Danio rerio: one gene and its partners. The protein of the gene in region 3 binds, or shares a complex with, the protein of the main gene of each other region. Links are inferred from orthologs where the notes say so. Each region holds a gene or a part of one and is shown on either strand. Other genes may lie near its edges. The genes, in order: clxn, odad3 and odad4.

Region 1 (4,188 bases), on a different chromosome or scaffold from region 3:
GCCTGATGAGGCTGTCTTTCAGCATCTGAAACATCTCCTCACGTGAGATGTATCCATCCCCGTTCAGGTCATACACCTCAAAACAGTCTATTGTATATTATATATCAAATAGCACAATGTATGGAACATGTATGAGATTATAATGTAAAGAGCTCACATTTCATTTTTTCATCCAGTGTGCCTCTTAGAAAGACAGACAGAGCCTCAACCCACTCTTTAACGCTTAAGTAGCCATCGTTGTCCTTGTCAATGACACGACAAACTGAGTGCACAAGAGATTAAAAGTATAGTGAGTGATATCTTCTTGACTCTGAAACATATATGTATTTACTCATTGGCCACTTTATTAGGTGTGATTTTTTTTAATGTAAATAACTAATAATCAGCAAGATGTATCTTAATGCATTAAAGGCTAATAGTTCACCCAAACTTAATTTACTCACTCTTAAGTATTTCCAGACCTATATGATTTTATTTTTCTGTTGAACCCAAAAGAAAATATTTTGAAAAATGTTGGAAACCAATTGCAATTGACATCATAGTTATAAAAACAACTACAATGGAAATCAGTGCAATGGAAAAACCTGCAAACTCCACACAGAAACAGCAACTGACCCAGTCAAGGCTCGAACCAGCGACCTTGTTGCTGTGAGGCAACAGCACTACCTACCGCGCCACTGCGTCACCCCTTACTAAACTTAGATGTATGTATACAGGTTACAAAACACAAAGTGGTTTCTTGAACATTCATTCATTCGTTTTCTTGTCGGCTTAGTCCCTTTATTAATCCGGGGTCGCCACAGCGGAATGAACCGACAACTTATCCAGCACGTTTTTACACAGCGGATGCCCTTCCAGACGCAACCCATCTCTGGGAAACATCCACACACATAAACACTCATGCACTTAGGACAATTTAGCCTACCCAATTCACCTGTACCGCATGTCTTTGGACTGTGGGGGAAACAGGAGCACCCAGAGGAAAACCACACAAATGCAGGGAGAACATGCAAACTCCACACAGAAACGTCAACTGAGCTGAGGATCGAACCAGTGACCCAGCGACCTTCTTGCTGTGAGGCGACAGCACTGCCTACTTCGCCCGGTTTCTTGAACATGGTCACTTAAATGGCTCCACAGTCACCAGATCTCAGTTCAATACAGCACTGGAATGGGAGATTTGCATCAAGGATATGAAAGCTGCAGGTTCTTTTATTAAAATGGACTAAAACATGGAATATTTTCCGCACCTACTCAAATCTGTGCCATGAAGAATTAAAGCAATTTTGAAGCCAGAGATGGTAAAATAGATACATCACCTTAAAAAAACGTAAGTTCAGCAATCATTTACTCGATTTCCACTTGTTTAAATTTCATTGAAAACAATGGTATATATCAGGGGTGGCCAACCGTGTTCCTGGAGAGCCACCTTCCTGCAGATTTCAGTTGCTACCCATATCAAACATACCTGAACCAATTAATTAGGACCTGAACACCACGTGATAATTACAGGTAGGTGTGTTTGATATGGGTTGCAACTGAAATGTGCAGGATGGTGGCTCTCCAGGAACAGGGTTGGCCACCCCTGGTATATATAGTGGAAAAAAAACGGCCACTGACTCCATAGTACTTTTGTTCCTACTCTGAATGTCAATGGCCATTGTTGGGTTAAGTTACTTTCAAGCAGGGGTGGACTTAACAAATATGCAAGGCAAGTAGCTGCTTAGGGCCTCAGGGAATTAGGGGGTCCGACCAATGCCAAGAACCTTATATTAATCATATAGCTATTTTATCATTTTTTTCTGTGTATAACCATTAAGATTTTAACATTATTGCTTCTTTTCTAATATGGGGGCCCCATCAATAATGGAATGTTCGTTAGCTTGTTAAGAAGTGTCTTCAAACAAAAGAAAATTTCCACTGATTCACAAACAGCTATTATTTAGATAATGGTGAAAAGATTACTACTATAGAGCTTGAAAAATGATAGACAGTGCTGTGTGTTTTTGCTGTTGCATCTTTGGTAACAGGTCCAAGATATATTTATATTTAGATTATATTTAGTTTAAACATGCTGTTTATTTACCAAAATAATAATACTAATAATAAATAAATCTATAGAGGAAAAATATCTATAAAGAAAGAGAATGTTTTGTTTCAATGGGGCCCCATACCTTTGCTTAGAGCCCCCCATATGACTTAAGTTTGCCCCTGTTTTTTAAGTGAAATATATTACAATCTTAAACCACTTATAACCACATTTAGATAGGCTTGAGGTTGTAATTACTTTAACAACTAGGGTAACTTTACCCAAACAGAAAGAAACTCATAAAAGTTTAGAACCACTTGAGTGTGAGCAAACGATGGAGAAGAAGTATTCATTTTGGGTCTGAACTATCCCTTTAAGTTTAAACCCCATTATAATGCTTGCATGGTGAACCTAATAAAGTGGCCGGTGAAAGTATATATGCAATAAATACTGCACTGCAAATTGTGATTGTTTTGTTGGTCGTTGTTCTCATTCAGAAACGCAACGTTACCTCTGTCCGTCATCATGTCGTCGGTCATCCCGAAAGTGTGGTGCAGTATATTTCTGAATTTGGCCCGGTCCACTCCAATAGTCGTCTTTCTCTCTGCCTGCTCTCCCAGCAGACTGTTGAACAGCCTTATCAGACACTCCGTCTCTGTTTTATTAACTACAGTATGACCACAGCTTAGTAACGTTAAATAACCTACCTTGTTTAGTATAGTTATTAGAGTTATAACTTTATAAAGCTGCAGGTTATTAACGAACTAAAAGCTGATATCTCAAACGCAAGTAGATACTCACAATGTTTGACTTGTCTGCATAAAGTCTCGGCGAGGTTTTGAATTAATTTTCTGTTCATCGCCGACATTTTCAGCATGTTTTACTCTCTTTTTAGTCTTTGGTTGAATGTTGCTGTGGAAACGTGTAATGTGGGCGGGGCAATGTTGTGACGAGCAAGCGCTGCATACACAAACCAGGATACATCGATTTAACGCATTTTAACTTGTCGAGCGTTTCCCTTCAGGGACGCATTTTGCAAATTTATGAAGGTAATTCTTCGTTTAAAGTCGTATACCAGCGGATACAGTATGTGGTAAGATATATAAATGATCCTGTCAAACACACATTGATGGTAACTGTTGTTTACACATTGAAACCCACGTGTGTGGAAAAGTGCGAGGAAGTGTTTATTAATGAAAATACTAAGAAATGTAACAACAAACTTATTCTTCGAATTGTCCAACAAAAAAAATCATATTGCTCCAAGAAAGAAATCATATTGGTCAGCTTTAATGAAGATATTGATTGGAAAAGAACATGCTTCTCCCATTCAAATATGTAATCCCAAACAAAGCAAATTAAATCCATTTTAAAACTTTACACAAAATATACCCGGTCAATGCATTTATCTTAGAATTTACTGATATTGCAGATACTTGTTCCTTTTGTCAGGAAAATCAGGAAACTTTGACTCGCATGTATTTTACATGTAAAATCTCACTGTTTTGGTCAGATCTATGTAATTATTTGAAGAAATCCCAATCAACAAAACAAATCTTTAAACTGAAAAATATCATTTGTTGTTATTTAAGCCCCAAGAATAAAAATGAAGAATATTTCTATAACTTTTTTTTAATATTATTTGCTAAATTCTTTATCCACAAACAAAAATTTCTTAAATCCTCTCCCTCATTTGCCCATTATTTAATTGAAATTGATTTCTTGCTTAAAGCTATACGTCTATCTAACAACAACAAAAATCTGCAAGTCAATAGAAACTTATGAAAATATCATGCTTCCAGGATGTTAGTAATTAATGCTTTCTGTATTTCTAATTTCTAATTTCTTAATTTAATTTTGTACTTGCCTTTTCTTCATTTTGTTCTTTCTTTTCTTTTCTTCATATTACTTTTTTCTTTTTTTACTTATTGTTCTTATCACTTTGTAATATCACTTCCTGATTTATATTGTACATTTCTTTCACTCAATTCATTTGATAAAGTGGACTGTTGGGCTTTACAGTGCATTAAATTCATTCACAATCACTGATTACTTCATAAAAATACTATGAATGAATGAATAAGAACACAATTTCTTTTCCCCCAAATTAATAATGTTTATTAAATGACGGTGCATTTTGACAGTAATTCTATTAGTTT
Region 2 (3,653 bases), on a different chromosome or scaffold from region 3:
AAGTAAATAGTAAAATAAGAATTTTTTTGGGTGAACTGTACCTTTAAGAAACCTCAAGCATGGACTTATGAACTCACAGCTGGTGCAACCCTTACCTTGTGTTTTCAGCTGTGCAAGAACGCTTCAGTAGACATGCAACCTTAGTGGTGACATTTTCTGAAAGGCATTATATAATACAATTATTCTCATTGGTGAGCTTTGTAATTCTCTTGTTTCGTTGTTCAGCGCGGAGCAGATGCTGCAGGAGTGTGAGCTTCGTCTACAGCAGGAGCAGCAGCGTCGTGATGCAGCTAAAGATCATCTGGACAGACTCACACACATACTAAACACTGTCAGAGCAGGAGTGCAGCAGCTCAGCGACAAACTACAGCACATCCCATCGGTACTAATCAGTCCAGCCAAACACATCAAACATGCTCCACAAAACATGCCCCTTTATAACCCTGGCTAATAATAGACATGTTTTCTACAAATAGGCTTCTAGGAACTTCAGCCTTCCTGAAGCTTCAAGAGGTCATGGGTTTTCTTGCCTGAAATCTTTTCAAAATGATAAAGCGATAGATCACCCAAAAAAGAAAGTTCTGTCATTATTTACTCACCTTTCATTTGGTTAAAACTATTTGGGTGTTTTTCTTATGCAGAATGCACAGGAAGATATCTTCTTATGTGTTCAACAAGAAAAAAAAACAAATGACCAAAGGGTTTTGTCAATTTTAATATCTGAAAATGTACTTTCCCTTAAAGGTTTATTGCACCAATAAAACTTTCAATTGTTTGTAATTTATTTGACCTTTTTCTCCCTCTCCCTGACCCTTAAAATAAGCATTTTTTGTAGTACATTTAAGACATATATGTAAAAACCCTCTGTTGTGTTGACTAATCTATACTCATCAGCCACTTTTTTAGGTACATCTGCCCACCTGCTCGTTAATGCAACTTTCTAAACAGACAAACACATGGCAGCAGCTCAATGCATTTAGGCATGTAGACATGGTCAAGACAACCTTCGGTAGATCAAACTGAGCATCAGAATGGGGAAGAAAGGTGATTTAAGTGACTTTGAACATGGCATGGTTGTTGGTGCTAGACGGGCTGGTCTGAGTATTTCAGAAACTGCTGATCTACTTGGAGTTTCTTGCACAACCATCTCTAGGGTTTACAGAGAATGGTCTGAAAAAGAGAAAATATCCAGTGAGCGGCAGTTCTGTGGGCGCAAATGCCTTGTTGATGCCAGAGGTCAGAGGAGAATGGCCAGACTGGTTCGAGCTGATAGGCAACAGTAACTCAAATAACCACTTGTTACAACTGAGGTATGCAGAAGAGCATCTCTAAATGCATGACACGTCAAACCTTGAGGCTGATGGACTACTGCAGCAGAAGACCACACTGGGTGTCACTGGTCAGATAAGAACAGGAAACTGAGGCTATAATTCGCTCACCAAAATTGAAGAATAGAAGATTATAAAAACGCTGCCTGATCTGATGAGTCTCTATTTCTGCTGCGACATTCAGATGGTAGGCTCAGAATTTGGTGTCAACAACATGAGAGCATGGATCCATCCTGCCTTGTATCAGTAGTTTAGGCTGGTGGTGGTAGTGTAATGGTGTGAGGGATATTTTCTTGGCACACTTTGGGCCCATTAGTACAAACTGAGCATCGTGTAAACGCCACAGCCTACCTGAGTATGTTGCTAACCATGTCCATCACTTCATGACCACTGTGTACCCATCTTCTGATAGCTACCTCCAGCAGGATTACATGCCATGTCATAAAGCGTGAATCCTCTCAGACTGGTTTCTTGAACATGACTATGAGTTCACTGTACTCAAATGGTCTCCACAGTCACCAGATCTCAATCCAACAGAGCACCTTTGGGATGTGGGGGAACTGGAGATTCGCATCATAGTTCTACAGCCGACAAATCTGCAGCAACTGCATGATGCTATCATGTCAATATGGACCAACATTTCTGATGAATATTTGCAATACCTTGTAGAACCTATGTCACAAAGGATTAAGGCAGTTCTGAAGGCAAAAGCGGGTCCAACCCGGTACTAGTAAGGTGTACCTAATAAAGTGGCCGGCGAGTGTATTTGTAAACCCTGTAATATAAATATTTTTCTGTGTCTCTGGCAGATGAAGGGTCCGGAACCCCAGCTGTCTCCAGACTCAGACGAGCACATACTGGAGCTGATGTCTGAGGCTGAGGAGAAACTCATGCTGCTGAAAGAGGAACTGCAGGGCAATGATCTGGCAACCATCATGAAGGAGATGGAGGAGGAAGAGGTTAGGGACGCCATTAGTGTTTTTATATTTTGGCCTTATGAAGAGTTTTGTTTAATTTAAGAACATGTGCTATCTTTGTTTGGTTTTATTTAAAGCTGTAAAATAGCCCTTGCTCATATTTTTTCTGCTTCCCTGCAGTTCCATGCCACTATAGCGAGAAAAATACCCCAGTACAACACTCGCATTCAGCTGCATGAGGCCCACAAACAGGATCCTTTTGACGGTGAGACACTCCTTCCACATGAAATCACATATCTGTTACATAACATGAGATGCCTAATACAAAGTCATAGTTATGATTTAAAAAGTACAAATTTTGAAATACTAAGTTATAAAATTCAGATTAAAAGTACAGCATGAGCTAAGCTGAAAATATCAGAATCTAAATAATAAAAACTAATTAAATGCTGAAAATGATTACAAAGGCAGAAAGCTTATATTTATTGCAGTGCTTAGACATAACTTTGACTCATAATATCATATTTTTATCACATGATCACATATTATTTTATCTCAATGATTTCTTCCAAATCTAGTTTTTTAATTGATATTAATTATTTTTGGAGGCATGAAGTGTCAAATGTATTTTGAATGGGGATACATACTGTATACTTGCCATATAAAGCCCATATATACAGTTGAAGTCAGAATTATTAGCCCCCTTGAATTATTAGACCGCTTGTTTATTTTTTCCCCAATTTCTGTTTAACAGAGAGCAGATTTTTTCAACACATTTCTAAACATAATAGTTTTGATAACTCATTTATAATAATGGATTTGTTTTATCTTTACCATCATGACAGTAAATAATATTTTACTAGATATTATTCAAGACACTTCTATACAGCTTAAAGTGACATTTAAAGGCTTAACTAGGTTAATTAGGTTAACTAGGCAGGTTAGGGTAATTAGGCAAGTTATTGGATAACGATGGTTTGTTCTGTAGACTATCGAAAAAAATATATAGCTTAAAGGGGCTAATAATTTTGTCCCTAAAATTAAAAGCTGCTTTTATTCTAGCCGAAATAAAACAAATAAGACTTTCTCCAGAAGAAAAAAAATATTATCAGACATACTGTGAAAATTGCCTTGCTCTGTTAAACATCATTTGGGAAATATTTAAAAAAGAAGAAAAAAAATCGAAGGGGGCTAATAATTCTGACTTCAACTGTATGTGGCAATTGAAAGTTTATCAACCTCTGACAATATCTGTGAAAATGTGAAAATCTTTTTATATAAATGCATGCTATTTTTTATTTAGTACCATTCATTTTACATAAAATATATCTGCATATAGTAAAAAAAACAACCTAAATTTATTAATTAACCCATGCAAAACTTTGTGAACCCTTGATTTGTGGATGAT
Region 3 (4,343 bases):
GGCTTGCATGGTTCGGGACTCGTAGAGCTGCGCATTGATGAATCTGCTCCTTAGTTTTTGGACTCTCAGTATTGAATATTAAACCACATTTAACCGAGCTAAACTGAACTTGAACTCTGAAAACTGAACTGACACGGTTTTAATTTACTTTAATATTCTATGTGAAGCTGCTTTGACACAATCTACATTCTAAAATCGCTATAGAAATAAAGGCGAATTGAATTGAATAGGGGCTCATAAATTTTCTTACAGTCATTCTCTCAACAATTATATACTTTTTTATTTTTGTTGTTTTTTATATTATAATTAGTTAGTGACTTTAGTTATTGATTGTTCATTTTTCAGTAAAAATGGTCATTATCAAAATCTTAAACAAAAAAAAACCCTGCTTTCATTGGTCAATATAGCACACCCCAGCTGCTTTTAGTAGTTTTGTGTGATGTTCACACATTCAATTCTTCACAGTCACTTTTTTCCTCATTCTCTTCCCTTTTTTTTGTCCTGCAGCATCTGGACCTGGAAACTTCTTCTTCCAGTTCGGTTAGCTTGGGCATTGTCCAGCACGTATGCAGTAGTTCCACAACCTCTGAATTCCCCCGAAACCGAACTGCTCTCCTCCATCCCTGCTCTCCTGATGAACGACACTCTGGTGAATCAGGCCTTCGGGCGCCACAGTTGGACCTGCATCTGTGCCATTGGCTTGTTTTTTTCCTGCTCGCGCACAAAAGACAACAACGGCAGGGGCAGACCATACTCTACCACCTCACACTACTCTCTCTCTTTCTCTCTCACTCCGATCAGTGTGTCCTCTTAATCCAGCTTTTCTTTTATCATTTGGTTTTCTTAATCCACAATATCGAATGTACCCAAGTGCATCATTTCCACATTTATTATTTTGGAAAAAAAAAATCTTCAGTTTAACAGCTGATGTTTGGGGGGGAACTTAAGAAGGTGCTACTTGCAAATCTCCTGTTTCTCCTTGACCGATCGCAAAATGCTCCATATCATCCAAACTAAGACAGATTTTAATGAAAAAGCAAGGTGTATCACAGGAGTTTCATTACTACTAGTGACGTATAGATTGTCTAAACCTGTACAAAGCCAGAATCCACACAGATTATATACATGCAACATTGCAAGCCATTTTAAAGACCTCAGCAAACATGAATGCAGCGCCTCATGCCAAATCTCATCACATATATATATATATATATATATATATATATATATATATATATATATATATATATATATATATATATATATATATATATATATATATATAAAAACACGCAAGTCGATTCCTGGATTGTTCGACTACTGCATACAGAGGTTGAGAGAAAGCGAGTGCAAGTTTATCTTTTAGCACCTGTTGGCCACGTTCCCTCTCTGTAATGTTCATTTTTTTCGTCATATGTTGCCATTCAAGCCCTTGCTGCATTGTACATTTTACTGGAATGTAAAGTGTTTTTTTGTTTGTTTTGTGTTGATAGTTTATGACTGTTTAATTTTTTTTTTTAACTCTGAAAGACACTCACATTTTTGATATGTATATTTATTGTAAATTCGCTGGACGTGAGCTTCGGACGGATGGATGGATGATCTTTGGATACACTAGGATCTGTATAGGTTAAACTGTATAGGGGAGAGAGTATTTTTAGCCAACACTCATAATAATAATAACAACTTCTGATTTAGAGAGGAAAAATGGAGATTATTGATCTGGTTATTTGTGGATTTGATTCCATTTACTCTGCTGTGTGCGTGCGCGCGTCTGTTTGTCTGTGTGTGGATGTAAGTAAACTGCAGGCATGATCAGTGAGCCATGTTTGGTGATCTCTACTGTTTTAACTAAGTGTTCCTCCACGTTGGATGCTGCAGATTTGTCGCGCTCCACCATTCTCTTGCTGTATTTGACCTGGCCGTGTAGTTCGTTCAGAAAACGTAAATTCGTCTGGAATATGTTCACGTTGCTCATCTTGAAAGATCTTCAGTGTATTCAAAAGATAATGTCCATGCTGACTTGGCTCACGCCGCTGGAACAGTCTCGACTATGGACCGTTTTTAAAGAAAAAAAGCCATGTAAATAAAGTAAGCCTCTTTCTGTTTTCCCCTTCACCACATGCTTAACTTTTATGTCTCCAATACATTTTTAAAAAGATATATAAATATTTTTTGTCTTCAATTTTGCTAGCTATAGCATTGTTATTTGTACACATTTTAGCAAATAAATGTGGTTTATTAAGTATTGAATGTAGTTTTAAATTTAATGTATTCCTGTGGTTCAATGCTGAATTTTTATTACTTCTAAAATCATTATATGATTATTTGCATTTCTATTATGATCAGATATTAGTACAAAATCACTAACAACTCAAATCACACGTAAAAAATATGTAATTGTTAAAAGAGAAAGACTTACTGTATGGGAGTTGGATTATCACAGAAAAAAATATATATAAATTTAAAATGGTAATTACATAATGTATTTTTAACAATATCTATTATATAAATGCATTTATTTTTGTGCAAATACTTGTTTTAAGCGTCATGAATTAACATAACATGACACTAAAACTGCCAGCTGTCTTAATTGATTCATTCATCATTCAAATGATTCATTCAAAAAGGCTGGTTCATTAAATAGTGACTGGCTGTGTGCTGGAAAATGTTCGTCTCGACACTGAAGACTTTGTATCATGCTTTTAAATCACAGGAATTGATTAAACTTGAGCTGCATTAAATAAAAATACTTAATACAATTGAATTTTGCTGTATGTTTGAATAAATGCAGCCTTTGTGAGCAGAATAACCACATTATAACTAATTCTAAGATATTACAGATTCTAAATTTTTTTTTTGGTCATGTATATTTTTAAACATGCAAATGTCTAAGACAAAGTGTGTGTAAAGAAACATTTACAGAATGAAATGTCAAACATTTTGAAGATATTTTAAACAAAAAACATCCTTTTTAGAGTGTATCATTACACTAAAACCCAACAGTCAACTTTATCAAGTGAAATGAGTTTAAAATTGATTTGAGTAAAGCACATAAGCACTGTAAAACCCGGTAGTTAACTCCAAATGTACTGAAAGTTAATTCTACTCATTTGAAAACAGTTTTAAACTCAATGTTTAAGGTAACGAGTTTAATAAATACCTCATTAATTCAACTTAAATGGAGTAAGTCCACAGTATAGATAATTTTTAACTCAAATTGTTTGTTGCAATTGGTTTCCTCACGGTTTTGAGTTGCCTTCTAAATGGTTTTTACAGTAATAATGTGCTTCAGTGCTTCGTTTACTCAAATGGATTAAGTTCACAGTACTCATTAGGGTTAGTTTTTGGATTGAGATGGTTTGTTATAATCCACAAATGGTTCAAGTAACCTTACATTTTTGGATTTTACAGTGTAGTATGATTGTATACAGTATGTATAGTGTAAAACAAAAGAGTAAGGTGTATAAATGGTCTAAAAGAGTATAAAAAAGTATAAATGAAACGTTTTCTGAGGTAAATTTGCACATTTAGGGTGAAATGGCGTGCTGTGTGTTGGCATGTCAATCAAAGTTCCTCTCACAGTTCATTGGTCCCACTGTGTTTTGTTAGTCACGTTGCTAGGATACACCAGACAGGACTGCAACCTCACGTATAGATGTGTACTGAAACGTTTTGACATAATTTTGCCTAAAATACGATTAAAATGTTCGATAACGAGGAAGGACAAGGCCCGAAAAGCACCTTCACCACCTACATGGCTGAAGGAGACCAGCTGTTCCAGAGAGGAGAGTATGTCAAAGCCGTCGAGAGCTTTACTACGGTAAGCCAACTCATGCAGGCTTTATGTGAAACGCACATCTGAAAATATGGTGTGTCTAAATTTGTTTTATTTTACAATAAATACGTGCTGTCTGTTATCCACCAGGCTTTAACTTTGCAACCGGATGATAAGAACTGTTTAGTTTCCAGATCCAGGTGTTATGTTAAACTCGGAGACGCAGAAAACGCGCTGAAAGACGCCGAGAGCTCACTTAAAGACAACAAAAACTACTTCAAGGTGTGTTTATTTGCAGTACTGGCTTATTTTCCTCTCGTTTTTGCTCTGAAATGCATTTTTCAGTAAAGTTACCGTTGATATGTATCTGTGTAGTAAGGCATTTGCCCTGAAGAGGGCGTACTTGTATAATCTGATTCGATCGTTCTCTGGATATCTGATAAGTAATTTGAATTCCATGTATAGCCCACTTTTTAATATAAACAACAGCAACAGCGATTATATTTTATAAATAAAATTATAAAAAGACATTATACAAGAAATAAAATCCAAGTTTACAATTTAC

The links.
Region 1: odad4 (region 3) and clxn share a complex: the UniProt entries of both Homo sapiens proteins name them as parts of the outer dynein arm-docking complex. The link is inferred for Danio rerio from reciprocal best matches to the Homo sapiens genes ODAD4 and CLXN.
Region 2: odad4 (region 3) and odad3 share a complex: the UniProt entries of both Homo sapiens proteins name them as parts of the outer dynein arm-docking complex. The link is inferred for Danio rerio from reciprocal best matches to the Homo sapiens genes ODAD4 and ODAD3.

Annotation. Positions count from the first base shown.
Region 1 is NC_133194.1:42,812,004-42,816,191, forward strand, and holds the start of clxn (calaxin), read right to left. Parts: upstream 2,942-4,188; 5' UTR 2,907-2,941; coding exon 2,831-2,906; intron 2,697-2,830; coding exon 2,541-2,696; intron 263-2,540; coding exon 158-262; intron 88-157; coding exon 1-87. UniProt on the Homo sapiens protein: Component of the outer dynein arm-docking complex (ODA-DC) that mediates outer dynein arms (ODA) binding onto the doublet microtubule. Seems to regulate the assembly of both ODAs and their axonemal docking complex onto ciliary microtubules.
Region 2 is NC_133181.1:9,167,623-9,171,275, reverse strand, and holds part of odad3 (coiled-coil domain-containing protein 151), read left to right. Parts: intron 1-225; coding exon 226-382; intron 383-2,137; coding exon 2,138-2,287; intron 2,288-2,425; coding exon 2,426-2,510; intron 2,511-3,653. UniProt on the Homo sapiens protein: Component of the outer dynein arm-docking complex (ODA-DC) that mediates outer dynein arms (ODA) binding onto the doublet microtubule. Involved in mediating assembly of both ODAs and their axonemal docking complex onto ciliary microtubules.
Region 3 is NC_133178.1:16,689,307-16,693,649, forward strand, and holds the start of odad4 (outer dynein arm-docking complex subunit 4), read left to right. Parts: upstream 1-1,467; 5' UTR 1,468-3,560; coding exon 3,561-3,823; intron 3,824-3,928; coding exon of another isoform or gene 3,929-3,972; coding exon 3,973-4,060; intron 4,061-4,343. Other genes in the region: dnajc7 (dnaJ homolog subfamily C member 7), read left to right, coding at 508-545. UniProt on the Homo sapiens protein: Component of the outer dynein arm-docking complex (ODA-DC) that mediates outer dynein arms (ODA) binding onto the doublet microtubule. Plays an essential role for the assembly of ODA-DC and for the docking of ODA in ciliary axoneme.